4 linked regions of the Rhinolophus ferrumequinum genome follow. The protein of the gene in region 2 purifies or fractionates together with the protein of the main gene of each other region. This does not show direct contact. Links are inferred from orthologs where the notes say so. Each region holds a gene or a part of one and is shown on either strand. Other genes may lie near its edges. The genes, in order: MED18, MED9, POLR2B and MED16.

Region 1 (6,957 bases), on a different chromosome or scaffold from region 2:
GAAAAGGGCCTGAGGAACTTAAGGAAATGAAAGGATATCAGTGTGGCTGAAGTGTAGTGAGTGAGATGGCAAATGATAATGAAATGAGGAATTGCCATGGGCCAAAGCCTGCAGGCCTTACATATGGTCCATGATAAAGGCTGCATTTTATTCTAAGGTCATTGGGCAGCTATTAGTTCCACATTTTATTCTCCACACAATAGGGAAAGACATGAATAGATTTACATCTTAAAAAGATCATTCCAGGGCAGCTGACTGGCTCAGTAGTTAGAGTGTGGTGCTCATTAACACCAAGGTCGCAGGTTCGATTCCCACATGGGCCAGTGAGCTGCACCCTCCACAACTAGATTGAAAACAATGAGGAAACAACAACTTGACATGGAGCTGATGGGTCCTGGAAAAACACTGTTCCCCAATATTCCCCAATAAAAATAAAAATAACTAATTCCAGGAAAACTGATGGACTCCACCAAGACACAGTCATGGGGGAAAAAAGTGGGGGCAAAGGTAGACTGGTCCAAATTAAAAGACTTAAAAGACACAATTATCAAACGTAATGCATTAAACCTGATTGCATCCTGGTTACAAATCACATTTTTGGGACAATTAGGGGGAAATTTTTGAATATAGACTAGGTATTAGATGATACTAAAAATATATTATTCATTTTTTAAGATAATAATGATGGTATTGGGGTTATGAAGGAAAATATACTTTTTTTAAAGAGATGTATACTGAAGTGTCCAGGGATAAAATGTTATGAGGTCTGAAATTTTCTTTAAAAACAGCAAAAGAAAAAAGATGAAGCAAATATGGCAAAATTATGGAAACTGAAATCTAGATGATGGAAATGTAGTGTCTACTATAATAGTCTCTATTTTCTATATGTTTGAATTTTTGAATAATAAAACAAGTTTTTAAAAGATGACTAGCTATTGTGTGAGAAGAAATGATCAAAAGTAGAAGCAATGTAGTAAGTGAGAGATTGCTAAAACAATTCAGGGATGATAAACCAGGGTGTGGTACTGCAGGTGGAGAAAAGACACATTTAAAGTATATTTTGGAAGTAAAATGAATAGGACTTAGAGATATACTAGATGTAGGATAAAGGAAAAAATGGAGATTGACTCCTGAATGCTTGGCTCAAGCAACTGGTGAATGGCAGTGGCTCTTACCAAAACGGGAAAGACCGAAAGAGGAGGAGCTTGAGGAGTGAAAATTAATAACCCTATTTTGTTCATATGAAGTTACTAAATGAAGGATCTGAATTAAAGCCTAAACTCTTTCACTAAACATTATATGACCTTCTGAAAATCATTAACCTTTCTGGGTCTCGAGTTTTCTCCTCTGGGCAAGTTACTTTACCTGTTTCCTGATCTATAAGATGGAGCTAACTAATAAGAGTATCATAGAATTACCATATGATCCAGCAATCCCACTTCTGGGTATATATCCAAAAGAATTCAAAGCAGGATCTTGGAGAGATATTTGCACACGCATGTTGATTACAGCATTATTCACAATAACCAAGAGGTGGAAGCAATCCAAATGTCCATCAACAGATGTACAGGTAAAGAAATGTGGTATATACATAAAATTGAATATTATTCAGCCTTAAAGAAGGGGATCCTGTCACATACTACAATATGGATGACTTGAGGCTAAGTGACATAAGCCTGTCTGTCATAAAAAGACTAAAGTTCTATGATTCCACTCATAGGAGGTATCTAAAGTAGTCAAAATCAAAAACAGAAAGTAGAAAGGTGGTTGCCAAGGGCTGGGGGTGGGAAGGAGGGGAATTAAGTGTTTCATGGGTATAGTGTTGCAGTTTTGCAAGATGAAAAAGTTCTAGAGATCATCTATACAACAATGTGAATATACGTAACACTGCTGAACTGTAGATGTGAAAATGTTTAAGATGGTAAATTTAACGTTATGCGTTTGTGACCATAAATAAAAGTAAACTTTTTTAAAAAAGTCTATTGGGTTACGCAGGCTGCTTTGGCCTAACAGGCTCTCATCTCCACAGAAGCTGAACAGAAAAGAGGAAAACAGGTAATCCAAGCGCTCAGGTTCACTTACCCTGCAGCAGGTACTCCATCATGTTAATGGTGCCTCCAGTGACAGGCATCATGGTGACCGGAGGTGCCTCCATGGTGTCTAATTAAGTTGAAGAATTTAGACTGGATTCCGAGTCCCCAATCAAGAAAAGCACAGGATACACCTGGAGAAGAATTACACTACTTAGTACATCAGAGAGGTAAAGACACCAGATCTGCTTCTGTCATTGGTCTTAACATCAAGATTCACTGGTTCACTCAAAACTTTTTGAGTAACTGCTATGGTCCAGTTTCAGGAACTAATGATATAGAAATACACAAAGGAAACCCGACCACGGAGTTAGAGCACAATTTTCTACCCTCAAGGTCTGAAATCTTTACAAACGTTCTGTTCAATCTTGAAGAAGTCATCAAACCTCTCACCCTGGGACTCAACGTCTTCCTTGTAAAATGGGGTCAACGATATTTAGCCCCCAAGACTTTCTGGCTCAGATGACATAATGGACATATAATAATACTCAGAAAAACTGAACGGTGACTAAGGGACTTGCCTGTCCTTCAATATATAGATGAGGAAGGATACTGAGCAGCGGAGAAGAGCCCAAGGACACAGTCAACTGGTAGCAGAGCGCGCACCAGAATAAAATCCGGGCGTTCCGCCTCTCTGAAAACGGCTTTTAAAGCGAGCCAGGCGGAAGCGCGAAGTTAAGATGATGGTTTAGGTGCTCCTAAACCAGCATCGAGAACACGTGACCACTTACACCTCCGTGCGCGCTCTACCCTCTTCTCATAAAGCGGAGAATTATATCTACCCAAGCATTTCTAAGCTTAAGAGCGACAATTAGCCCCCCGCCTTAAAATTCAAACCCCTGGACATTGCAACACTCCTTCCTCCTCTTCTCGCTTCCGGCCAAGAAGCCGACGTAGTACAAACCTCCCCACCGCCGCCGCCGCCGCGCAGCCTAAGGGTACCGACAGGGCTTGAAATCGCTCTTTGACCGGCAAGCAGAAGCGCATGCGCAAGATGCGACACTGCTGCTTGGAAGATGGCGGCCTCCGTGGAAGCGTTCTTCTGGGAGTTACGGGGTGGAGGGAAAACCTTGACGTCATAGGCTGTCCTCCAGGACATTTTTTTTTTTTTCTAGTTCGACGACCTGGAGATGTTTTTGTCTAGGAAATCTCTTGGAACTGACGAGGGGGGGAAGAGAGCCTGGGGAAGGGAGCTGCAGAATAAAGAGAGACTATTTATAAAACAAAGACTTTTTGTTGGGTACCTGAAGGTGAAAAGAAAAGACATTTGCTGCTTAGCATAATGTTCTGAACAATTAAAGAGCTCAACAATACACTTAATATTTGTTCACTTTACTGTGTATATTTTAACTTCAATTTAAAAATATAGAGTGTTAAGTAAATTCAACGAGTATTTATTGAACGCTACTTATGTGTCATGCAGATAGGAGAGGGCGGACAAAGTGGGGACTAAAGTTAAGTGAATGAGGCACTCTCCTGGAGCAAAAAATTTAAGGGGACACCAAAAAACTCAGTAACTAAGATAAATAATACTTTAATGCAACATTTTACAAATTTAATACCAAAAAACCATTAATGAACAAAATATCAAAATTTCAAATTTGGATCTTCACAGCAGCCCTAGAAGCCAAGTATTCCTGTAATTTTACAGATGGGGAGACGTAGGCAAGAAGTTAAAAAACGTGCGAGGGAGTGGAGAAGCAGGGATACAGATCTAAGCTGCTGATTCCAGAGCCCAAGCTCTTAAATTATTACATTAAACGGACACTTCTAGCTCTAGCTCCCCCACTGGAATCTATACTACTGCCCATTCATTCATTTTTTTAAATTGAATATTTCTTGAAAGTCTGTTGTGTTCTAGACATTCTGTTAACTGTTGTTGACTTTATCTCTGCCCTCAAAAGGGTTTATGGGCAAGTTGTGGCAATCAGAATTAAACGGAGACAGTACCATGTGATTCGATTTAATAGGATAATGGAATATAAATAGCTCAGCTGCTTGGGAAACAACCAGTTTGCTTGATTCATCTTGGGGGCATCAGGGGAGGATTCCTGGAAAAGGTAATTAATGCTGGGGTGGCCGGATGGCTCAGTTGGTTACAGCGTGAGCTCTTAAAACAAGGTTGCTGGTTGGTATGGTGGGCTGTGTTCCCTGCAACTAAAGATTGAAAACAGCGACTGGAATTGGAGCTGAGCTGCGCCCTCCACAACTAGATTGAAGGACAACGACTTGGAGCTAATGGGGCCTGGAGAAACACACTGTCCCCCAATATTTCCCAATAAAATTTATTTTTTAAAAAAGTAATTAATGGGGGCCGGCCCGGTGGCTCAGGTGGTTGGAGCTCCTGCTCCTAACTCCGAAGGCTGCTGGTTCGATTCCCACATGGGCCAGTGGGCTCTCAACCACAAGGTTGCCAATTCAATTCCTCGAGTCCGTCAAGGGATGGTGGGCTCCTCCCCCTGCAACTAAGATTGAACATGGCACCTGAGCTGAGCTGCCACTGAGCTCCCAGATGTCTCAGTTGGTTGAAGCGTGGGCTCTCAACCACAAGGTTGCCGGTTTGACTCCAGCAAGGGATGGTGGGCTGCGCCCCCTGCAACTAGCAATGGCAACTGAGCTGCGCCCTCCACAACTAAGACTGAAAGGACAACAACTTGTAGCTGAATGGCACCCTCCACATCTAAGATTGAAAGGACAACAACTTGACTTAGGAAAAAAAAAAAAGTCCTGGAAGTACACACTGTTCCCCAATAAAGTCCTGTTCCCCTTCCCCAATAAAATAATAAATAATAATAATAATAATAATAAAGTAATTAATGCCTAAAGTAACCTGAAGGAACAATACCGTGTTTCCCCCAAAATAAGACTGGGTCTTATATTAATTTTTGCTCCAAAAGACACGTTAGGGGGATGTTCAGAGGATGTCATCCTGAAAAATCATTCTAGGGCTTATTTTCCGGTTAGGTCTTATTTTCGGGGATTCACGGTGGGTGTCAGCCAGATAAAGAAGGGAGGAAAGGGAATTCTAGGTAGTGGGAACAACATGTATATAAGGTCATTGAGTTCAATAGAATTAGGATACAGAATCTGAGGTTAGAAGGGATGAGAAATGAGTCTGGAGGAGTTGGGCCCAGATTCTGGAGGATTTTTCACATCAGACTAAAGTAGAGATGTGAGCTTTAAAGAGCTCACTCTGGCTGCAATGTGGAGAAAAGCTTCGGAAAGGAGGGCCTGGAGAAATAAGACCAGTTAGGAGCTTTGGCACAACTCCAAATGAGAGATAATTGCAGAAGAAAAGACAGATTTTAAAAATATAAGAGAATCATTTGATGAGTAAACAGGTAAAGACAGGGAGAGGGAGTCACAAATGTCTAAATTTCTACCTTGGATGCCATAGTAATGCTTTTTTCTGAGCTAAGAAACACGAAGTCATGTAGGTGAGGCAGGAAAGATGAGTTCATATGTAGATACAATAAGCATGAGGTGTTTCAGGAACACCCAAGTGCAGTGCCCAGCCGATGTGCAGGGGAGAGAGAGCTGGGCTAGAGGTAGAGATTTCAGAGTCAGAGCTTCAAAAACAGTAGCTAAAGGCATGAGAACAAATGAGATTACCCTGAAAGAGTGTACAGAATAGGAAGAGAAGATGGCTAAGAACTGAAACTTGTATAGGATTCTGACAGTTATTTGAGCTGTGTATACCCCAGGGCTTAGGATGTGCCTCCTGATAAGCCTGGTGGTTCACAATATTGGGCAGAATGACAAGTTCTCAGTGCTGTAATGACTGGAGGAGGTTGTAAAATTGCTGGGCCTCTCTTTTCCTATATAGACATCAACCAGAATGGAAAATTTAGTGAATCATGGGTTCTTTGAGGCACCAAAGTATTTACTCAAATTTTAGCTGGCATTGTATAGTAGGGTTAAATTTAAAATATATATATATATATATATATACAGGAAATGGATGAATAATATGGTAAAATTTGGATAAGGCCTAGGAATTAAAGGGATGCGTTTCTTTGATAAGGATGTGAGGTCTGGAGCTTAGAACTGGGCTCACATCTGTCCTCTGCCACTACACAGCTGTGCAACCTTGGGCAATTCACTTCCCCTCTCTGAGCCTCAGCTTCCTATTTTTGTAAAATAGAGATAAAAAAAATTTCTAAGGCAGAGATTGCAAAAATAAAATGTTTATGAAACACTTAGCATAGTGCCTGGCTTATTGCAAACAGTCAATAAATGGTAGCTATTATTATTATATTTGATATCTCTCATTTGAGCAAATAAATTCTGTCTTATTGAATATACTTTGTGCAGATCTCACCCCCCCGGACGGATGTAAACATCTTGAAGGGAGGAATCATTTATTTTCTTTATATGTATGTGTCTTAGCTTGGGCTGTTATAACATAATAAACATATAACATAATAAACATAATAACAGCATAAACTGGGTGGCTTATAAATAACAGGACTTTATTTTTCACAGTTCTGGAGGCTAGAGGTCTGAGATTAAGGTGACAGCATAGTCAGGTTCTAGTGATAGCCCTCTTCTGGGTTGTAGATTGCTGACTTCTCATATCCTCACATGATGAGCAGAGCAAAGCGAACTCAGGTCTCTTATAAGTGCGCTAATCCCATTCATGAGGGCACTTCCCTCAGGACCTCATCTAATCCTAAGCACCTCCTAAAGGCCCCACCTCCTAATACGATGATATAGGGAAGTAGGATATCAACACATGAATTTTGGGGGACACTAACGTCCATAACAGTGTGCTTTACATGTACTAAGTGTTCAAAAAGTTTGTGGAACACATCACAATAGCTGCCAATTATTGAAGAGTTGCTACACACCAACAACTTTACACTAT
Region 2 (7,221 bases):
TGTCTAATAGAGAAATGACTATTTTTGGACTCCACGTAGCAGAAATGTATCACAAACATATTCATAGGTATTTGTGGTGTAGGTCCACTTAGAGCATCTGAAAGTTCAATTATTGGATGCAGTCTGGGTTTTGTGTTTGTGCTTGTAGTAACGGTTTGCTTCATAAGGAATAATTATGAGGGGTTTTTTGTTGTTGTTGAGAAATTAGAAAAAACAGCAGTAGTTGCCAAAGTTTAAATAGTGCTTACTACGTGGCAGGTATTGTTTGAAGCACTTTTACATTAACTCGTGTAACCCTTACAGCAGCCCTATTAGGTAGGTACCGTTATGATTTCACTTTGCAGATGAGGAAACTGAGGCAAGGAAGGTTAAATGACGTGTCCAAGGTCACACAGTTAGAAAGAGTAGAGCCTGGACTCTAATGTACCAAACTCCCAGGTGCCCATCCCCGTATTTGGCAATTGTTCATATTTTTCCAATTTACTTCCTCTTATAATACATAAATATATTTTAAAAATATAACACTATGCAGAGAGTTGCAGTGCGATCCCCATCCCATGAAGGTGTTTGCGTCTGTCTCAGCCTGTTGATAGTACTGCTTCAGTTAGGAGTGCCCGGGCACTCACCCGGGCCTGTGCCTCGTGGGGCCACCCCCACAGACGTTTCCCCCACCAGAACCAATACTGTGGCTGGACCAGCCCTTGTAGTTCTTTTTAAAAGCAAGGCACACCTCAGCAATAGCCATCAGGTAACTTTGCAAAAAACAAGGTTTATTACAAGTCCTGGAGAGTGCATGGCACTTCCAGGGTCATAGGCAGAGAGAGAGACAAGATCTGGGGTTCTGTCTCTATTGGGGTTGAGGGTGGGGTGCTTAGGGTTTCATGGGCTCACTCTCTTTTTGATGAATTTAAAACATAAGAGCAGGAATTGAGGCACAGGAAGGGAAAGCAAGTGGTCAAACTGCCAGTCAGTCCAGGTTCCCCAGGGCTTTCTGAAAGGTGAACTGAATGGTGGCTCTCTATCTGGTTGTGTAGCTGACAATACGATATTTACTTCAGAGGGAAGTCTTTGAAATGGATCCCACAGCAATTAAAAGCTTAAAGTCACACAATCAATCAACACAGCTAATTGTCAGACACTTCTACTTGAGTGAGGTATACCCTTCAGTTCCTTTCAAAAATATTTTTACTCGTACATCTACATCTTGTATCTTTGGACAATATACAGTGTTATTTTTCATATTTCAAACATTTGCATGAGTAGTACTACATTCTACTTCCTTTGTGAAACTTGCTTTTTTCCTCTCATCATTATGCTGAGTTCTGGCTATGTAGACACATATGGATCTCTCAACTGCAGCATCCAGTCCTGTGGCAGCTGGCCACATTTGGCTAGAAATGTGGCCTTTCGAATTTAGATATGCTGTCAGTGTAAAATGCATGCTGGATTTCTAAGACAGTGCGAAAAACAGTAAAAGGCCTCTAGCAGTGTTTGATATTGATTAAACGTTGAAATGATAGTATTTTGGATATATTGGATTAAATAGAATATATATCAAAATCAATTTCACCTGTTTCTTGTTATTTTTTAATGTAACTACTAGAAAATTGAAAGCGACCTATGTGGCTTGATTTACAGCTTGCATTATCTTTCTGCCGGAGAGCTCTGATCTAGATCCTTCCTCTTAACTGCGTTAGTCTGGGTTTTGTTAATTGGTAAAGAAGCAAGCCCTAAATCTGAATAATAAGAGCTAATATTTACTGTTCACAGATACTTTTCTAAATGATTTATATGTAATAACCCGTTCAGTCCTCCTGGGAAGTTGCGTGGCTGCACGAAGTGAGGTTGTGCAAAGTCATGTAATTTGAAGCAGGCTGAGCTGGGACTGAAGTCAGACAGACTGGCTCTAACGGCCTGACCTTGGAACCGCCAGCTTGACTGGAAAGGCCCTACGAGAAACAGAGTCAATTTGCCTAGGGAAGGACAAGATCCCTTAATTTGGTGATGTCTCTAAGAATACACAGTGCTTACGTATCAAGAGAGCATTTGCCTTTTTCAACTTGTAATGGACCGGTTCTGAACAGACACACATTTGTTGTGGCAATTTTAGCTTTAATGAAACCAGCACAGGTAGTATTTTTTTTGACACTGGCTTGCAATGTTATGAAGCCAGCTTTATTCTTTGCCACTAATTATATTAACTGTTTTTAGGGCAAATTGTCAATGCACCACACTCGTTTATGCTTCCTACATTTTCAATTTGTTTTCTTTAGCCATGTCTATTTATATCTAAAGTGTTTTTTTTTTCTTTTTTTAAAAAGATGTCCTCATTATTCTGCCAATGACAAAATTGGGGCTTGTAATTAAGTTGTAAAACACTGGGAGGGAAAAGATGACGTGTGATTGCCATGGGAATATTAACTGATGAATATTGGATTGCTTTTCGAATTCTGAATACAAATTTCACTGTTAACATTTCGAATCATGAAGTTACAGAACTGGTAGAGACCCAAGGTTTCTTATGTGTTGGGTAAGACCATAGGCTTGGTGTCAGGCAAACTGTGTGACCCTGGGGCCAGTATCTTAACCATTGTAAGCCTTAGTTTTGTCATTGTAAGGTCCTTCACAAAATGGAGATACTAACACCTACCTTTTGAGCTCTTTTGTTGATTAAATGAGATGATTGTGACTCTGTTTTATGTGCCTACCTTCATTGCACGGCAGTTGTGGTCATTACTGTTTTTATTAGTAGCAGTTGTAGAATCACTATCATTATCATTATTAGTATTGCTATAGTATCATCATTATTTCCCCAGATGGCTCCAAGGGTATACAGTCTCTTTAAGCACACCTGCTCCTATCCCAACAGGATTTTCTCCTCCATTCTCCACCAGGGCTCTCGAACTCTTCCCGTAGGTAGAGAGATCCATGATTCACAGGAAGAAAACCCTGCAGCCTTCTCCCTCTGGGGTGCTGTGGGCAGCTCTTGCTGAAGAAAGCTGCGCTGAGGCCCTTCACTCTCTACAGCACACACTCCAACATCCCCACTTCCTTCTGCGGTCTTGCTCCCCTAGGATCTGTCTCCATAAACCCCTCCTGAGGCATCTGCAAATGTTACCATTGATGCTTTCCCTGGGATCAGTCCCTTGCTCTGAAGTGCTACTGCTCATCTTGCCACCTGAATGTGGACTTCCTGACCTCTCTTTAAGGCTCATGGTGGTAGACGGAGGAAGAATGGGGCTGTCCTAGTTCATTACTTCTTCCACTCACTAACTAGGCTTAGGATGGGTGTCCCCATTGCCCAGAAATTATACTTGTTTTGAGGAACATAACCACAAACCCACTTTGAGGGTTACCCACTTTGGCCTAGGATGCTAGAGGGTCCTGAAACCAGACCTTTGGAGATAACCATGGATCTGAAATTAGAAAGCAGTTTAGGGTCTGCCGTGACCCTGAGTTAAAGAATGTATTAGAGGTGAGGAAACTGGGGCCTAGGAGCTTAAGAGACTGGCACACAGGTACGGAGAGTACCTGAGGTTGACTTTGCTCTAGGATATGGTATTTATTCCTGGCACGAATCCCGTTCTGCTTTGTATTAGTGAAGACAGCCTCCTGTCCCCTCCCCCCACATTTAGTACATCATCTATCGTCCAGAAGATGCATATTAAATGCTGAATCATTAGCTTCTCTCTATCCAGCCTTGCAGAGCTCTGAGGGCTGTGCCTCTGCGTGCTAGGGCTCGCACCGGGTCTCGCACTATCAGCTCCATCAGGGTTTGCTGCCTCTCCTCCTGGAGGCTCCTGCGTGGCGTAGGGCTGTAGGTCCTTCACCTCTGGATTTTCAATGTCCTTAGGGCTCAGTGCCTTAACATAACAGGTGCTTGGTAAGTGGTGTCTACTCTGCTCACCGTTCAAGTTGGTTCTTTGGGAGACCTCTGAGGGCTGGGCCATGCCGACCGAGCCTTTTTTATCTAAAGCCTTCCTCCAGTAGCTGCTTTTGGACCCTCTTCGTTAAGTGAATAGGAATAAGATGTTATTTCTGAGGCAAATCCCCTATTTCTGACTACTTAATAATTTGGTTATCTTCACAACCAAATCCCGGCCACCTTAGACCTGCCAATCAACTGTTGCCTAGTAACATCCGGCCCGCCCCCGTGCCTTCCGCCCCAGCGCCCAATTGCGCACGATCACAGGTCCCGCCCCCTGCGGGCGTGCGGAAGTGACGTTGAGGGACCGCGACGCCTTCGGCCGGCAAGTGGATCGGGTCCGGCGGACTGACGGAAGCCGGAGCGCCATGGCCTCTGCCGGGGTGGCCTCCGGGCGACAGGCTGAGGATGCGTTACCGCCGCCGGCCGAGCCGCCGCTGCCCGAGACGAAGCCGCAGCCGCCGCTGCCGGTCGCCGCGCCTCAGCCGCAGCAGTCGGCGGCGCCGAGGCCTCAGTCACCGGCGGGCGTGAAAGAGGAGACCTACTCCTTTTTACCTTTGGTTCACAACATCATCAAATGGTAAGGGCCCGGGAGAGGACCAGCCGCGACGCGCCCTCCCTCTTCCCGTCACGTTTCACAGCTGCAAAGGCCTAGGTGCTCTCGGTACACCCCCGTTTTATAGATGGGGAAACTGAGACCCAGAGGGGGAGGAGGCCTTTCCCAGGACCTCACTGAGTCGTTCCGTGAGTTCAGCACATGCTTGGAGCCCTAGAGCTGCCAGACCTCGTGTGGCTGGCCGGGCGACGTTCTTAACTATGAAGCCAGCTTAGAGACTGAATGCACAGGCGCTGCAGTCAGGCTACTCAAGTTTGCATCCTAGTGAGGTGGCGCAAGGCGAGCTTCTCTGAGCCTCGGGATTTTCCCCCGTGATATAGGGGCAACACTCATTTTAGTTTCCTTCTTCCGACAGATCCAACAGATAGGATCATCTTCCCTGTGTGGCACACTGCCTAGTGCTGTGGGACGCACAGTAAAAGGGCCAACTTTTCGTCCCTACATTGCTTACCAGTTAGAAGGGGAAAAGGGACAAACGGGAATAGCTCACAGTTCAAAAAGGTTGGTGGGTGACAATGGGAAACATTAAAGAAAACAACGACACAGAAGTTGCCCACCAGAATGGATCCTGTAGTAGTGACTTTGTTCTAACATAGTATCAAAATGGGTGATTGGCCGCCTTTTGGCCATTCTTCAGGTTAGCCTGAGTTTTCAAACTGACCCTGTAAAGGAAACTAAAAGCCACAACCAAAAATCTCCTTGATCCCAATGTTTGCCTAAATTATTTTTACTGTTATGTTATTTATATGCACATAATACTCGGTGTAAACCCCTTGGCTTGTAAATTATTCAACCATTAAAAACCCAAACAAAGTAAATTAAAATGATTATTATAGTAATGTTCAGGTGAACATATATGTGCTCTTGGTGTTTTGCTGAAGTGGAATTGCTACACACAACATGCAAGGATTGGCTGTTAGTGACCCAGCCTCTTTTGAGTTCAGCCGGACAAGGTTCACTTGCTGTGGATTGATGACCTGATGCTTCCGCCACTTTTCAAACAACTGCACGCTCTTTGTTCTCACATTAGGCCCTGGTTTCATTTCGCCTCACTGGGTGTGACCATACTGTGTACAGGGAAAGACAGACTCTGTTCTCTTTAGCCTGTGATCATCAAGTAGCACTTCTCTGCAGCAGTAAGAGCGCAGACAGCAGAAATGCAGACTCTGCAATCCCAGGGCAGTGCTAGATTACAAATACATGTTTGAAGAAAAACAAGAAAAACGAAAACAAAATACACACATTCTCGGAGACAGTTCTCGGACACCCCGGGAGTATGTTCTGGAGCCCCAGTAAGACAGTTGGGTTGAGCTGGCCTTGAAGATGGGGCACAAGTATGTGGATGGAAGGAGCCCTGCCTCCGGGCGGTGAGCACACAATGTGATACACAGATGATGTAACACAGAACTGTACATCTGAAACCTATGTCACTTTGCTAACCATTGTCACCCCAATACACTTTAATTAAAAAAAAAAAAAAAGATGGGGCAGGAAGGTACACTAGAGAAAACATGGGCTTAAAGTCAGATAGCCTTGGATTAAAATCTCATGCTGTTGCTTGCTTGCCTGGTAATCTTGGTGAATACTGAACCTTTCTGGGCCTCAATTTTCTTCTCTCTACTGTGAGAATAATAATAATGCACTTCCAACAGTGGGTTCAAATTACAGCTTTGTACTGAACTGACTGAGTGACCTCGGTCAAACAAGTTAGCTCCTCTGAGCCTCTCTTTCTCTTGTAAAGTGGGACTAATAATACTTAAATCATAAGATTGTTGTGAGGTGTACTCAAGAGCAGTCTCTGGTGAAAGATGGTAGGTTGATTACGTCTTGGTCTCTGTTTCCTCTAAAAGGACAGTGAAGAGTTGTTTTGTTTTAAGCACAAAACCAAAAGAACAGGACAGGAACGAATTGCCACAAAGCAGATGGCCAAGGGCTCACCCCCCACCCCACCCCAAGAAGCAGCCTGAAGCAACTGCCTTTGACCATGGCCTGTCTGTCCCCAAATCTCAGGAGTTGGCAGTACCAGGGACCTCTGGATGTAGGGGTGAAGGGAGACTGAGAACAGGAGGATTACTTAAAAGTCTGTTTTTTAAGAGGGAGACCCCCATAGCTCTCTCCCCCAACTCTAAGCAGACAGGTGACTACCATTCTTCCATCTTGGAAGACAATTAAAGGGTTGCTCTTTCCCAAGATGTATTCTTAGGAAAGAATAAGCCAGAGAGTATCTGGTCTGGAGGGACAGCAAGCACATTGCAGGACTGTGAGGGAGGGAACCGGATGGAAAACCCGGCTTAAGAGAAAGTTCTCGCACTGAATACTGAGACCCCACCCTTGCCTTCCCCACCTGGCTTCTAGAGTGGCAGCCGGAGACAATAGAGTCACCTGCTCTTGCGTGTCTGACCAGCCCAAGAGAAAAGTGATTGGGGGCTCCCCAAGAAAGAACCTAGTCAGTTCACATGACTGGATAGCCAAGGTCACTAAGCGTGTGAAGAAAGCCCCTAGTAAGAGAGGACAAAGCAGAGGAGCAGAAGAAGCCACGTGAAGGAAACGGGGTAGTGCGCACAGAGGAGAGAAACTAACCCTGAAAACGGGCGAGGATCCGATTTTAAAGTACGCCTACGTATGTTTGAGTTTACAGGCTAATGAGGGAGACCTTGTGACTCCTGGAGGAGTCATAGGG
Region 3 (7,106 bases), on a different chromosome or scaffold from region 2:
CAGGGCTTGATGACTCACTAGGTATAGGGGTGAAGAAGAAGAATCAAGAATCATGCCCTGGATTCTGATTTCAACAACAGAGGAGGGTGATACCATTCACTGAGATGGAGAACACAAAAGGAAGCAGCTTTGGAAGGGGGATGAGGAAAGGAAAATGACCAATTTGAATAATGACAAGTTTGAAGGGCCTGAGAGACATCCATGTGAAACTGTCTAGTGGCAGTTAGACATACAAAACATCTGGACTGGAAATATATTTTCAGAAGTCGTTCACATAAAATGGTAAATGAAGCCATGGAGAATGGATGAAATCATCCAGGAAGAATGTGAACAGAAAAGGATAAAAAGGAAAGTCACAACATAGGTAAGAGCCATTAAGTCAGAGTGATCTGGCAAAAGAAAGGAGTTCCAGAAGGAAGTCATCAACAATATTGAATACCACTGGGTCTGGATAAAGTTTAAAAATGCCCACCTGATTTACCAACTGAGAAGTCACTGATATTCTTATTAAAAGCTGTTTTAATGTAGTGGCATGAGCAGAATTAGATTGCAGTGCGTTGAGGAGAACCTGAAAGGTGGGGGTTGAATCAAGGACAGCCTATTCTTTTTAGAAGCTTGCTGTGAAATGTGGAAAGCTTTGCCTTCCAAAGGCAAAATATTGGGAAAAAAGGAAACAATAAAGAGTTTAACTTATTTTCTTATGGACAAAAGAGATCTAATAATTCACATAGAAAGAAGCCAACTGAAAAGGAGTGTCTGAAAACTGACAAATCTAATAAAAGATACAAAGGACACAGGCAGGAATGTAAACTCAAAGCTGAAGAAGACTTTTATCAAGAGGATGACTTGTAACTCTTTTTTCCACAGAATTATTTATTAACATGGCGAATGAGAGGATAAAGCACAACAATCACTATCATGGTCACTTGGCACCATCTGGTCACTTAGCAAAATGTTAAACATGTATATCATTTGACCTGACATTTCTACATCTAGAAATTATCCTACAGACATACTTGTACTAAACAAAAAAAAGTACAAGATTATTAATTCCAGCACTGTTTGAACCACGGGAAGAAAAAGGGGAAATAACCCAAATGTCCATCAATAAGACACTAAAGTTATGGCATATCCATTCAAACTACGTAGCATTGGGGGGGGGGGAAATGAGAATGCTCTCTATGGATATGAAAATCTCCCAGGTAGATAAATACACACACACACACACACACACACATATACACACATAGACATATATATATATATATATATATATATATATATATATATATATATATAAAACGTAAAAAATAAAAAACACAGAAAAGTGTAAATGTTCCTATGGGTGGGTGGTGGCAACAGAATCCCACTTATTTCCTTGAATGTACATAAAACACTATGGAGTGATAATCTAAGACAAGTGGGTACCTACTATGAAGGGGGTTCACACTGGGAGATGGTGGGCAAGAAAAGAGACCTGACACTAACATTTTTGTATTTTCTGGCTTATGAGACACAGAAATACATTACCTAATCAAAAAATTAAATTAAGAAAAATTTTTTGAATTTCTTTTCCACTCAGAGAGGCGTTAAGGGAATATAGTAATGCTAATACATTTCTAGACTCAAGATGTAATTGACACAGAGTAATTTAAACAGCAGAGTTTAAGCTTTTGTTTTTCTAGTTTCTCCTTGAAGTAGCTGAGGTAATAAGAAATGTGAAGGGTGGCTACGGGCTGGGAGCTAGAAGTAAATGAAGTTTGAAATAGTAGCTGTGGAGAATGGAAAGGGGAGCTTTAAAAATACATAATGAAAATACAGGAGACATGACTAATTCGGCACGTGAAAAGATATATTGGCCCTGTTCAGTAGAACACGTACCATCTAAGAACTATGTTATTTTGTGGGAAAAGGAAATTTAAATGTCCTCTTTTCAGACAATTGCCTTAGATGTATGACAGCATTGAAGGAATGCCAAACTAGACCAACCCCGTCCAACCACACACTGTATTTTTTGTCCCCGGTGTATTTCCAAAGACTAACACAAAGCCTGGCCCAGGTTGACGCTCATAAATTCAATAAATCCACTAATTCTGGCCTTAAGGAAAATGAAAAAAGGAACCCTTCACTGCACACAAAGTCAAAACAACGGAATTTATGTTAGGGTTCTGCACGCTATTCCAATACAGGAAGGAGGTATGATTTATCCAGCAGACAATGGAAGGAACAAGTGCCACTCAGACCGGGAATATTAATGCTACATTCCCTGCACCCTCCACCTCTCGTAATCCCGGCTTCGTCCCCGGCCTGGGGTATGCAGGGAACATGACTGTGGACACTTGTGCAACGGGCTAGGAGGAAGGCCAATCCTCAATTCGTCCAGCTCCCCACGTTTCCCTACTTAGATGGGTCGCCGGGGAGTGTTCTGAGCGGTCACCTACCCTCGTCCGCGTCATACATGTTTGCAAACGGTTCCCGAACTCTAAGCTCTTGAAATCACAGACAGAACGGTGCGCACCAACGACCAGCACCAGGAGCCTGAGACAAAGTAATTTCCGCCGACGGCGTTCCCAGAATACTCTGCGTCTTCCGCCAAAGGCCACCCACAAAGAAGCCAACGTAAGATCTGCGCCTGCGCATATGGTAGGCTAAAGTGGACAAGGGTTAGAATTGCGCACGCGCAAACTGCAGGCCTACGGGTCCGGTGGCTGATTGCGCACACCACTCCTACAGTCTGAAGATCGGTTCCAGCCAATGAAAAGTTTTTGGTCGTTTTTCAATATTGCACAAATAATGACACCTGAAAAAAAGAAATAAGAGACTTAATTAGTAAAAAGTGTTCATTGTGGCCGTCAGCGTATGGCATTCGACGTTGTACTTTTTGCACTTTTAAAGCCGAAAAACAGTGCTTTTTAAAACGTGGCTTATTAAAGGCGGGTTATGCCATTGGTGGCGCATTGAAGAAGGCTGAAAGTGACCAAACCCTCACAAGCTTCTTCTGCCCAACCGGCACACTCTAGGTCTCCGTCCGGTACCTTTGCCACATCTTTGAGCGGGCTCTTAAGCCTTGGGGCTTTCATCGCGAGAATTTACGAGATTAGATGCGGGAGGAGGAGCCGAAAAGTGCCTGACAGTTTTCAGGTAGTTCCGGGCTTAATCTCGGGTTTAATATGCCACATGGGCCCCAGTACGCGTGCGCACAAGTGGCTCCGCCCCTTGGTACAGGGCCGGGTTCCCCATGCTACCTGCACTCCTAACCCGTAGACTGCTGTGCCCCTTGCTGCGGGGTTCGGTTCCCACCGTAGCGTGCCATGGCCTCTGGGATCCGCTCCTCAAGAGAAGATGCGCGGCCGCCCCCTCCTCCCAGCACCTGTCGGGCCTGGGACGTGAGCTTCCTGGTGGCCCGACGGCGACTGGGGGTTACGAAGGCAGGGATGACATGGAGGAGCGTTTTCTGTTCCCCGAGTACGTCCCGGAGCCGGAGCCCGCACCGACCCTAGAAGAGCAGCTGCGCGAGCTGCAGCAGCGGCAGGAGGAGGAGGAGCGACAGAAGCAACAGCGGCAGGAGGAGCGGCGGCTGCAGAAGTTACGGACCAGCCGCCGGGTGCACCCGGTCGTGGGGCACCCGGACCCGACGGTGCCGCGGAGCGGCCTGAATTGCTCGGGCTGCGGGGCGGAGCTGCATTGCCAGGACCCTGCCGTGCCCGGCTACCTGCCCAGTGAGAAGTTTCTTAGCGCGGCAGCGCAGGCCGACGGCGGGCTGGCGCGGACCGTGTGCCAGCGCTGCTGGCTGCTGGTGCATCACCGGCGCGCCCTGCGCCTGCAGGTGAGCCGCGAGCAATACCTGGAGTTGGTGAGCGCCGCTCTGCGGCGGCCCGGACCCGCCCTGGTGCTGTACATGGTGGACCTGCTCGATCTGCCCGACGCCCTGCTGCCCGACTTGCCCGCGCTGGTAGGCCCCAAGCAGCTGATCGTGCTGGGAAACAAGGTGGACCTGCTTCCCCAGGACGCTCCCGGCTACCTACAGCGGCTCCGGGAGCGGCTGTGGGACGACTGTGCCCGCGCCGGGCTCCTGCGGCTCCCTGGCCACTTAGGGCCACAGCACCCCGGCGGGGACGGGCCACCGGACGGGCAGAAGAATTGGAACGCTTCCACCGGGTCCCGCACCGTGCTCAGGGACGTGCGGCTCATCAGCGCCAAGACTGGCTATGGAGTGGAAGAATTGATCTCTGCGCTTCAGCGCTCCTGGCGCTACCGCGGCGACGTCTACCTGGTTGGCGCCACCAACGCTGGCAAGTCCACTCTCTTCAACACGCTCCTGGAGTCGGATTACTGCATCGCCAAGGGCGCTGAGGCAATCGACAGAGCTACCATCTCCCCTTGGCCTGGTGAGCCTTAGGATGCCTGCCCCTTAAAGCCACCAGGGAGTGTCTGGATCCTTCCCTGTAAAAATTCTCTCCCTACTTTGGTCACACCTCTCTTCTGTGTCAGCTTAGTGCTTGAAAAGTTAGTATATGTCATAGTAACTTCCTGATAGAAATATTTGTGTTTCTATCATAGTAACTTCCTGATAGAAATATTTACTTCTATCTTTCGGTCACTGTTCTAGGCACTGGAGATAAACCAGAGAACAAAGCAAAGTTCCTGCTTTCTTGGAGGTTTCTCTTGTGGCTTTACTTTGTATGTTTCCCAGAAAAACCCTTTGACTTTCTAAACCTCCCTTTACCCCTCAATCTTACTCTTCATATCTTGAGTTCATGATATCAGTTTGCCACACATGTTTAACATTTAAATAGTTCACTAATGCAATATGATGTATGGCTTTAGAAGACGTCAATTTTGTGGCTTCAGGGAACTTCTGTGACTGGGAAATGGGTCCATCTATGACCCTGTTTGTATTTAATAGTTGGCAAAATTAATGGCATTATTTGTTCCTTTGAAACCAGTGTTTGATTTTGCTTGGTAAGCTGTTCTTTGCTGTCCTAAACTATGAATTATACACAGAAGTACTTTTATATAGTATGGTGAAGATGGAAAGAAATCAGGCCTGCGGGTTTGGGATTCACCTCCAGGTTGAGCCTGTGAGCCATTCTCTGAATCTATTTCCTCATCTGTAAAGTAAGAATAATTTTGTAGAGGGTTGTCATGAAGGTTAAGTGAAATAAATTACAGTGCCCAAGACAGTGTTGCTCCTTGAAAATATTAGCTTTCCTCCCTTTATTCCCTTGTGCAATGTTTATAAAAATGTATTCTTTGATATTTCAGGTACTACATTAAACCTTCTGAAGTTTCCTATTTGCAACCCAACTCCTTACAGAATGTTTGAAAGGCAAAAAAGGCTAAAAAAAAATGCAAATGAAGTTGAAGAAGATCTTAGTCAGCTAGAACAAAATCAACTTACTCTCCTGAAAAAGCATGGTTATGTAGTAGGTAAGCATCTTCTAGAGGAAAACTCTTGGTGGATCTATGCTCAAATTCTTTGTTGAGCAACCTGAAATACAGCTGTCTGAGGCTAGCCAGTTTTTGCTGGGAGAGACTACTTTTCTCGTTCTGGAATATAGAGGCCCTTTAGAGGCAAGGTGGATGTTTGGAAAGCCAGAGTTCACTGTGCTAAGAAAACTGAGACAGTAGATACTTGGAGAAATGCTGGAAAGGAATCATGAAGCAACTGCCCACCTAGCCATTGTCAGCAGAAGAATTTCCACAAAGATGTAGCCTCGCTCCTTGAAGACCAGTACAGGTTGTTGACTCCATGCAGCAGCTCTAAATTAGATGGTCCCCCTTTCATTGGTTATCTCTTTTCAACCTTCATTTACAAATGCAGTTTGACTTCCACCAGTTCTCACCACCCACCTCCCTCTGATATACACAGCCAGCCACACACTTGATGATCACAAGAGTCTGACTCCCACTGACTTAGAAAGAAAAAAGCAAAGCTATCATTGTAGTCTCACTTACATACCCCATATTAGTCTTCGTAACTTGAGTTGAACATGAGAATTACCTGTCTGGAGTCAAAGGCTTTAAAGGAGTGGCTAATAACTTCAATATAACTTATTCTAGGACGAGTTGGAAGAACATTCTTGTATTCAGAAGAACAGAAGGATGAAGCTGCCTTTGAGTTTGATGCTGATTCACTTGCCTTTGACATGGAAAATGAACCTGTGATGGTTGCAGATAAGTCCACCAAACGAGTAGAACTGACCCCACAAGATGTGAAAGATGCCCACTGGTTTTATGACACCCCTGGAATTACAAAAGAAAATTGTGTATGTATTTGATGTTTTTTAGAAACTTTAGATTAACCTTCAATTGTATGAGTACCGTCTTAATTGACAGAACACAGGAAAGGAGGTATACTTTCCTTATAGACTCAGTTCTGATTCATTCATAGCAACAGTTCAGGAATGAATCTGTATGCCATCAAGTTCTGTATTCCATTTGGTGGGCTTCACTGCTGACACCCTACTTACAGTATTGTGGTTGTTACCTTAGTTAGCAAGACATTTACAGAAGCGTAGATTTTGAGGTTGGAAGAAATCATAAATATCACTGCAGTCCGGCCACCTAGTCCATGCTTGAATCCCCTCTATAACATAGCCATCAAGAGGGCGTCCAGCTTGACCTGAAGTGAGGAGTGACTCACTATCAGCTGAAGCAGTGTCACCTTGCCTCCCAAGGTAACCTATTTGATCTCTGACCTGCTCTTTTTGTGGAGCTGAACAGTCTCCCTGTAACGTATGCCCATTGTTCCTCAAGGTGTATGAAATGCATGCCTGTTTCCCTTGCCAGACTTTGAGGTATTTTAAAGTATGATGTCCTGTCTTTTCCTCACTCTCCCATTTTCTTCTCTTTCATTGGCTCATCCAACTTCCTGAGTACTTCCTGTGCTGACAATCCTGATTCTTTGTCATTATTTCCTACCTATAGACATTATTTCCTCCTCTGAGACAGGCTGTTCATCCATCCAGGCACGTTTTCAGAATGGTTTCTAACTTGTTTTTGTCTGACACTAAGAACTGAATTTCTTGTATAAGTGCCCTCAGATGAGCATAACTGAGAATAGTATTATATATCTTTTTAATCCATGGCAGGATCTCCTGGAC
Region 4 (7,785 bases), on a different chromosome or scaffold from region 2:
CCGTTGGCATCAGCTGACAGTAGCCGGGAGCCTGTGGGGGGCAAACCTGCATCACAAACCCCCACTGCGGGAAGGGATAATCACCGCAGTATGTTAAGGGCCTGGGAGAAAGCAGCCCAGGGGAGTGGCACAAGGTATGCTGAGGAAATGGCTCTGGACATGGGGAACAGGAACAGCAGCAGCTGCAAAGCCACAGGTCAAAGGTTCGAGTTCCAGCTCTGGACTCTGGGGACATAACCAGGAAAAGACAGAGCATGTGACCCTGGGATTCAGAGTCAAGGGTGAGCACCACCGTGGTCTCCCTCCGCCATGCAGGAACACCCTCGGCTCTGCCCTCACCTGACTGGTCCCACTCAAGGCAGGTGATGGCCTCGCTGTGCCCTGAGTTGATAGAGTGCACATCCCAGGGATGCTCCGTGTCCAGGATGTGGATCAGTCGGGTCAGGTCTGCCGGGGTGGGGGACAGGGCATGGTCAGCAAGGTGACAATGACATGGCCCTGAGGCAACCAATGACCCCAGGGGGACTCAGGGAGGAAGCCAGAGAATGTCCCACCCACAGGGGAGTCATGGAGGTGCTGCTGACCAGATCGACGGCCCAGGCAGTAACGAGGAACAGGCCGTGTCCCCAAGGGAGAACAGAGCAGGCCCGGGAGTCTGCCACCAGTGTGTCTACAACCACATTGTTAAGAGACCCAGAAAACAGAAAGGGAAGAAAATGACCCCATACATGCTGACATGGAAGGTGACAGGTGGTTCTTTTTCCTCAGTTCCTGCGCTTTTTAAATTTTCTGTAATGAGTGCACATTACTCGGATGATGGAGAGAAGACAGCCCAGCATCCGTGCACCTTAGAGGCTTTCAAAAGCCAAACAGTGACATGTACGGCCCGGAAACTGAGGCACTAGTCTCCAACAAACCGGAGTGGGCTGCCCACCCTCAGCCCCTCCTATCACACAGGGGTAGGAGAGCATCCCCACAGTAGCCAGCACTTCAATGCGAGGTTCACCGAGGACAGCAGGCAGCAGTTCAATGCACCTGCCCTTTGCACTCCTGTGAGGATGAGACCCTCACCTCCCCCAGTTACAAGTGAGGAAGCCCTAAGAGGGCCTGGATGGGTGGAAGATAGCTCCCAGGCAGGCCTGGAGACTTGGAGTTGCCCAATAGCAGTGTTCCAGGTACTGTGGGAGCCTGTGTGGGGAGAGGAAGGACAGGGAGCTGGGCTGGAGGTGAGGGGACACACCCTGGTCGTCGTTCCGGAGGTCTGTGGTGAAGGCGATGAGGTTGCGGCAGGACCAGGCGCACGCCAGGGGCACTGATGGGCAGTGGGTGCTCTTGGGCCATTTCTCCCACTCGCAGACATAAGCCAGATCCATCTGTCACAGGTCACACACCAGTCACCTGAGGGAGGGAATGACCACCTGAGGGAGTGACAGAGAGGACTAGCTCATCGTAGCATTCACTGAGCACCTGTAGGGCACTAAAAGTTATGCTGGATGCTGGGTCGCCAGAGAATGAAAAGGGCCCAATCCCTGACCTTGGGTTTTGGGGATGGGGTGGGGAGAGCTGCATTTTAAACATGGAGGGTCAAGGAGGCCACACCAGGGAGACAACATATGAGCATGGGTGTGAGGGAGGTCTGAGGCATGGAGATGTCTGGGGAAGAGCATTCCTAGCAGAGGGTACAGCCACCGCAAAGGTACAGAGGCTGGACTGAGTCTAGGGTACTGAAGAAGTGGCCACGCAGCTGAGCTGAGGGTGGGGGTGACGGTGAACTTTCACCCAGAGTGAGGTGGGAGCCCCAGGAGGGCTGTGACCTATTTATGTTTCAACAGGACCCCTCTGGCTCTCTGCAGGGTACAGCTTAGGAGATGGGGTGGAAGTAACTGCACTGGTCCAGGCCAGTAACAAGGTGGACGGCAGTGGCAACTGTAAGAAGAGGTCGGATCCTGGGTTTACTCGGAAGGCAGGGCACTGGTGGGGCTGCCTTTGGCCGGGTTGGCGGGGAGTCAGCAGTTTGGTCTTAGTGTGGGACGTGCTGAGTGGAGCGCTAACAATAGAGGCGAACGTTTCCTCAGAGCTATGTGCCCGGCATCAATTATAGGTTATTTCCTTTCACCATCACAAAAGCCCAGTCAGATTGTTAATACGATCAACCCCCACGTCCCCAATTCTCCAGGCCCTGCTCCAGAACAACAAAGCCGCGCCACAAGCCCCTTCAACACTTTAAGTTCCGCTCCCAAAGCCTTCCATCCCCATCCCCTTCAATCTTTGCTTTCCAAACCCCGCTCCCAATTTGTTCCTTGAGCTCCCAGGCCCAGCCTAAACTCTCAGGCTCCGCTCCAGAGACCCCAACCAATCCCCCAGCTCAGTCCCCAAAGACCTCCAGCCACGCCCCCAACAACCTTTGCTTTCCAAACCCCACCCCCCAGATACCTGGCTTCCAGGACCCCACCTCCAATTCTCCCTCGGTACCCAGACTCCATCACAGGGGCCCCGCGCAATCTTTAGGTCCCGCCCCCCAGTCTCCCAGACCCTCAAGCCTCCCCTCCATTCGTCCGAGGACCCTCCTCAGGGACAAACAATCCCTAGACCCCGCCCCAATTTCCCCCAGCTCCGGACCCCGAGTTGCCGCCAAAAACCCCAGACCAAGCCTAGCGCGGCCCAGGCCACGTACCCAGAACCCTTTGCTCTCCAGACCCGCCCTCTGACCCCACAGACCCCGCCCAGGGCCCAGGAGTCCCCGCCTTCTCCGGGCCGCGCTGCCCTGGGCCGTCAGGAGGCCGGCTGACCCTCCGGGCCGTCGTAGTCCCGCGCTCACCGGACGGGCCCGTACACCACGGCCGCATACAGCACTCGTCCTAACTCCCCGGTTCCAGCGCCACTCTCTTTCCCCACGACCAACAACTCGACCGCGCAGCGCGACAGCTTCCCGGAGACTTCTGGGACGGCGGCGGCTCCGGCTCCGCCCCACTTCCGGGTCGTTTGAATATAGGCATTAATAATTCCCAGCAGCCACCTGAGTTTTATTTGGTAGAAAAAGAAACACTTTTTCAACTCCAGTAAATGACCGCATTTGGTTCCGCTATATGTTACCCTAACATCATATAAGAATTTGTTGCTAAACTTTTGTAACGAGGTTCACCGTTAGTGTAAAGAAATTTTATCTTTACCCTTTAAATAGTTCTCGGGTCACAAGTCGAACTGTGCTCGCTTCGGCAGCACATATACTAAAATTGGAACGATACAGAGAAGATTAGCATGGCCCCTGCGCAAGGATGACACGCAAATTCGTGAAGCGTTCCATATTTTTCTCTTTCCTGGTATCAGGAACTGCGACAAAATAAAGGAAGTGGTTTACCCAATCGAAGTTGCTTCCGGTCTCAAACCCCATCACTAAGTCCTCTAAAAGCTAGTTCTGTTTGTTCTCTACTTCTGTATAATGTTTATAGGTGGGGAAACTGAGGCGCTGATAAGCCCAGGTACCTTATCCAATTGAGGGCTCTTCTGGATTCAAACCCCATCCTCAATTCCTCCTCCAAAAGCTGCTTCTGTTCCTGCCAGACTTTCCCCAGTTTGAAGGGTCTTCCCCAGGAAGAACCCCCGGGGATTGCACGGAAGGGTGCACCGGGCGTAAGGCACCTCCTGGACAAAGGCCTGGAGGCCCTGGGAACCCGGCAGCCTGGGAACCCGGCAGCCTGGGAACCCCGGCTGGAAGAACTTGACACAGCCAGCATATGTCGAGGACAAGACTCGAACCCGCGTGGCAGTGGGAGAGGCCTGTGTGGGCCCCCAGAGCCCCATGCCCGAGGCCGAATCCTGTCCTCTGGGAACCTGGGGACTCGGTCCCCTTCGCAGATGGGAGGCTCCGAGCTGGCGACTCAAATATCTCCTTTTGTCCTCCGTACTAGCCATTTGGATTTCCATTATTCAGCGTCTATCTTTAAAATTATTTAAATGCATATTAAAATGGAATACAGTGCACCCAGCGCCCACTGGTTTCCAAAACAGTGCCCGGATAAAAGGAACCAGGCACCTGAGAGAAATACACCAGCCGAGCAGGAGCATCTTGTAGCGGCAGGAAGTCAGGACCGTGCTCAGAAAATTACCCCACAATGATGGGGATGCCTCAAAGAGACATGGGAGCCCTCCAGGAGAGCTCCCAGGGGCCAATCCTGGAGTCATTTCTGCAACAAAATGAAGTCATACTGGATTATAACCCAAAGTAGTAGGAAGTAAATACCCACCCCTCCACAAAGACATAAATGATTGAATAAATACAGGCACCGCGCCGGGGAGACGTGGCGGAGCTGAGGTTTGAACGAGGAACCAGGGAGGGGCCAGGGCGGCCGAGCCAACCGCCAGACACTTCCAGTCTCTCCACCTGCCTCACTCTCCGGCTGTCACTCAACGCGAAGCTCCTCCCCCATATCCACAGCCATAGAAACTCTTCCTCCAGATCCACAGCCCTACCTTGCAAAATTTCTATCGAATTAACGTAGATTCTCCGCCCTCTAGGAAACTCCCATCCCTCCGCGTTGGCTGCTCAAGGCGACTCATTCCGAGAGGGCAGGTGGGGCTGGGTGGGGCGTGGTTTAACTTCCCAGTGCAGAAGCCTGAAAAGCACCCCGGCCAGGAGATCAGCGTCAAAGTCAGCCGTGAGGAGCAATTGGGACAGCAGGGACCCTGATGTGATCAGATGAGCAGGGCGCTTCCCTCAGTGCAATCATGGGGGAAACAGCAGAAAACCCGGATGGGGAGGTCCTGCAGGACCCCCGGCCAGTCTCAGACATACATAGAGGGAAGACAACGTGAAGAGACGCAGGGAGAAAGCCACGTGACGACCACGGAGGCACAGGCCACAGGGATGTAGCCACAAACCAAGCGACACTGGAGTCCCGAGGAGCTGAGAGAAGCAGGAAGGACCCTCCCCTTGAGCCTCCGGAGGGAGCGCAGCCCTGCCACACCTTGAGTTTGGACTTCTGGCTTCCAGACCTGGGAGACGAGAAATCCCTGTGGTTTTCAGCACAGTGTGGGATATTTCTTCCTGCTGCTTCAGAAACCTTCCACGAGTTCATGCAGCTGGGGGGCGGGGATCATACAGCTGGGAAGTGGCAGACCTGGGGTTTGAACCTAAGCACCAGTGAGGGGCCAGGGCGGCAGAGCCAATGGCCAGATGCTCCCAGAAGTCTCTCTGCCACCTGCCTCACACTCTGGCTGCAACTCAGCGTGAAGCTACTCCCCCCAGGCCCACAGCCCTCAGCGACCAGGGCGCAAGAGCATCATGAGGGCCTGTTGGGCCCCAGCCCTGCCCCAAAAGAAAACCCCACAGCTGGAGACCAGAGCACCAGAAATTTATTGAACTCTCCACTTTCCTCAATGAGCAACTAACCACATACACGGGAGTGGGGTGTCCCCCAGCCCTGCTTCTCTGGACCAGGACAGGGTGACCAGCAAGAGAAAACCCCAAACCAATAGGCTAGAGCCAGGCTGAAGGAGGGGAAAGGTGAGGGGACATGGGGACATGGAGTGGGGAAAGTGGCAGTCCGAGGGAGGGAGCTTCTGGCTGGAAGTCCCAGACCTCCAGTATGAAAGGAGGGGAGAAACGTTGGAGGTGGGGGGAGTGGTAGAGCAGGCAGGGCCCCAAAAGCCACAAAAAGGCACCCGTTGACACACATTCCAAAGAGGGTTAAAACCAGCCTTTAAGCCACAGCTTGTCTAGGGTCACGAGCACTGGTATGCCCACGCGTACCCAGACACACACACACTCTCTCTCTCTCTCTCTCTCTCTCTCTCTCTCTCTCTCTCTCTCTCTCTCACACACACACACACACACACACACACACACACACACAGAGAAGATGGACTGCTTCTGGGCAGCACCCCAGAGACCTCCCCATCCTAGCCTAAAACTGGGAGGGGGTAAAGCAGGGACTAGAAGAAAGCCCCCCAATGTATCAGTTGGGGCAAGTATTTGGTTTTTCTTCCCAAATGGGAAATTTAAAAATCTACAACAAATCACACCGAATTAAGTGATAAAAACCCAGCTACTTCTCACTTAAGCTTCAGACTGGGCACAAAAAACTGAATCAAGAAGGAACATCAAAGTGAACAGACCGGTCTCCCCACCCAAATACAAGTCCCAGAGTGGGGAGCTACGGGGCCCTGGGATAGTTTGGGGCAGCCCCAGCTGCCAGCTGTTCACCTGGGAGAGCTGAGCCGGGCTGGGGCCAGGGTGAGGAGACCGCTTCCCCAAGGGGGTGAGCACATCTTCAAGGACAAACTCTAAAAATAACAAACATATTTTAGCAGATGGTATGGGAAGTCTTGGTGGGGGAGAGGAGCCGGCAGGCAGGGCCGCCATCAGCTGCGCTGCTCCAGGTAAGCAGACAGTAGCAGCCCAGGTGGCAGGAAGTCCAGGTGACGATTGCTGACTTTCATCTGCCTCTTGCCCTCCAGGTCAGCACCTGCAAGAGGGGACAAGTGGGGCAAGAATGAAAGGAACGTGAGAGTCATGGCACACAGAGGCACCGAGTTCTGGCTCTTCCCTGCCAGAAGTCACTGCAAGCTGGCACTTAGGGTCTGTCTGATGTGACCCCCTCCCCCGCCCCAGGTCCCAGGGCCAGACTCCCGCAAAGAGCAGTTGCTACGTTAGGGCCTCCCTCTGCACCCTGTTTCATCCTTTGTGTCCTTCATCCCGTGTTTAGATGGGCACACTGACACAGAGGCTGGAGGCCAAGGGGACACGGGCCCTGAACAAGTGTCGCACCTCTTTCCTGGTCCCCTGCGTCCATACCTGCCCTCAGGATCTCTGAAGCTCAGTCCTCCCCTGGCACCTCCTCCGTGCAGGCCCGGCTTTTCCCTCTCCCCTGCTCCCCATCTTGCACCCCCAGCCCAGTCCCTCCATCCTAAGCCTATGGGAACAAAAGCAAACATCCTGAGTCTATGGGAACAAAGGGAAGCATGGGGGCTGCTTTCCTGTGAGGGAGAGCTTCAGGAATCTCAGGATGAACCATCCTGGGGTTGCCATGGAAATTGTCTCAGCAACTCTGGGCAGGAGGCAGAGAGAGAGAGGCACGGGGAGTTCCTATTGGGGGCGCTCAGGGCCAGCTAGGGCGTGTGAGCACCCTTCCTGGGGGGGCTGTGTCCCGAGACCACCCCCTCCTGTAAAGTGGGGACACAGGTCCCAGGAGGGGTTACTTGCCAGAAGTCACATGTATGGCACAGGGGAAGGGGGCTATAGCTAAATGAGGAACGTGCAGACACTGGGGTACCCTCATGTAATCTCAGGGCCCCTTGAGGCCCAGCTTCATCATCCCCACACAGGTCCTTCTCTCCCCATGGACCTGAAGATGTGGATGAAGGGGTGTCTGTTACACTGTGTCACTCAGAGTAGCGCCAGGGCCACAGGAGCCTCACAGTGTCCCACTGCCACCGCTTTGCTCAGGCTGTTCCGCAGCCCCCAGAAGCCTCTGGCTGAGTGAGCAGACCCCATTTGGCCTCAGTTTGCTGTGGCCAAATTGGCTCATTTGGGGGTCCCAGGCCCCAGGCACTTACTGGCTGAGATGAGGTCCATATACTGGCAGATGGCGTGGAGCAGGAGTCTTTCGAAGCTGAGGAGGAACAGGAGGTGAGTGGCCATGAGCTGAAACTGGCCACCCAGGGAGCTCACAGTGCCCGCCCCCACCCGTCACCTGTTGTCCAGCATGGCTGTGTACACGGCCTGGGGGGACACAGAGAAGAACCTCAGCAGCCTCTCCTCCCAGGTCTCCAGCGTTCCCTGCAGGA

The links.
Region 1: the proteins of MED9 (region 2) and MED18 purify together in Homo sapiens (affinity purification with mass spectrometry; 6 studies listed by BioGRID and IntAct, counting the BioPlex papers as one, with this or other methods). This does not show direct contact. The link is inferred for Rhinolophus ferrumequinum from reciprocal best matches to the Homo sapiens genes MED9 and MED18.
Region 3: the proteins of MED9 (region 2) and POLR2B purify together in Homo sapiens (affinity purification with mass spectrometry; 4 studies listed by BioGRID and IntAct, with this or other methods). This does not show direct contact. The link is inferred for Rhinolophus ferrumequinum from reciprocal best matches to the Homo sapiens genes MED9 and POLR2B.
Region 4: the proteins of MED9 (region 2) and MED16 purify together in Homo sapiens (affinity purification with mass spectrometry; 5 studies listed by BioGRID and IntAct, with this or other methods). This does not show direct contact. The link is inferred for Rhinolophus ferrumequinum from reciprocal best matches to the Homo sapiens genes MED9 and MED16.

What each region holds. Positions count from the first base shown.
Region 1 is NC_046292.1:19,448,811-19,455,767, reverse strand, and holds the start of MED18 (mediator of RNA polymerase II transcription subunit 18), read right to left. Parts: upstream 3,013-6,957; 5' UTR 2,822-3,012; exon of another isoform or gene 2,225-2,821; 5' UTR 2,156-2,224; coding exon 2,083-2,155; intron 1-2,082. UniProt on the Homo sapiens protein: Component of the Mediator complex, a coactivator involved in the regulated transcription of nearly all RNA polymerase II-dependent genes.
Region 2 is NC_046304.1:1,260,250-1,267,470, reverse strand, and holds the start of MED9 (mediator of RNA polymerase II transcription subunit 9), read left to right. Parts: upstream 1-4,220; 5' UTR 4,221-4,293; coding exon 4,294-4,505; intron 4,506-7,221.
Region 3 is NC_046288.1:18,688,127-18,695,232, reverse strand, and holds the start of POLR2B (DNA-directed RNA polymerase II subunit RPB2), read right to left. Parts: upstream 3,014-7,106; 5' UTR 2,461-3,013; coding exon 2,442-2,460; intron 1-2,441. Other genes in the region: NOA1 (nitric oxide-associated protein 1), read left to right, coding at 3,239-4,388, 5,266-5,430, 6,064-6,269. UniProt on the Homo sapiens protein: Catalytic core component of RNA polymerase II (Pol II), a DNA-dependent RNA polymerase which synthesizes mRNA precursors and many functional non-coding RNAs using the four ribonucleoside triphosphates as substrates.
Region 4 is NC_046301.1:62,029,090-62,036,874, reverse strand, and holds the start of MED16 (mediator of RNA polymerase II transcription subunit 16), read right to left. Parts: upstream 3,017-7,785; 5' UTR 2,819-3,016; intron 1,399-2,818; 5' UTR 1,374-1,398; coding exon 1,241-1,373; intron 448-1,240; coding exon 340-447; intron 32-339; coding exon 1-31. Other genes in the region: R3HDM4 (R3H domain-containing protein 4), read right to left, coding at 6,361-6,464, 7,555-7,610, 7,692-7,777. UniProt on the Homo sapiens protein: Component of the Mediator complex, a coactivator involved in the regulated transcription of nearly all RNA polymerase II-dependent genes.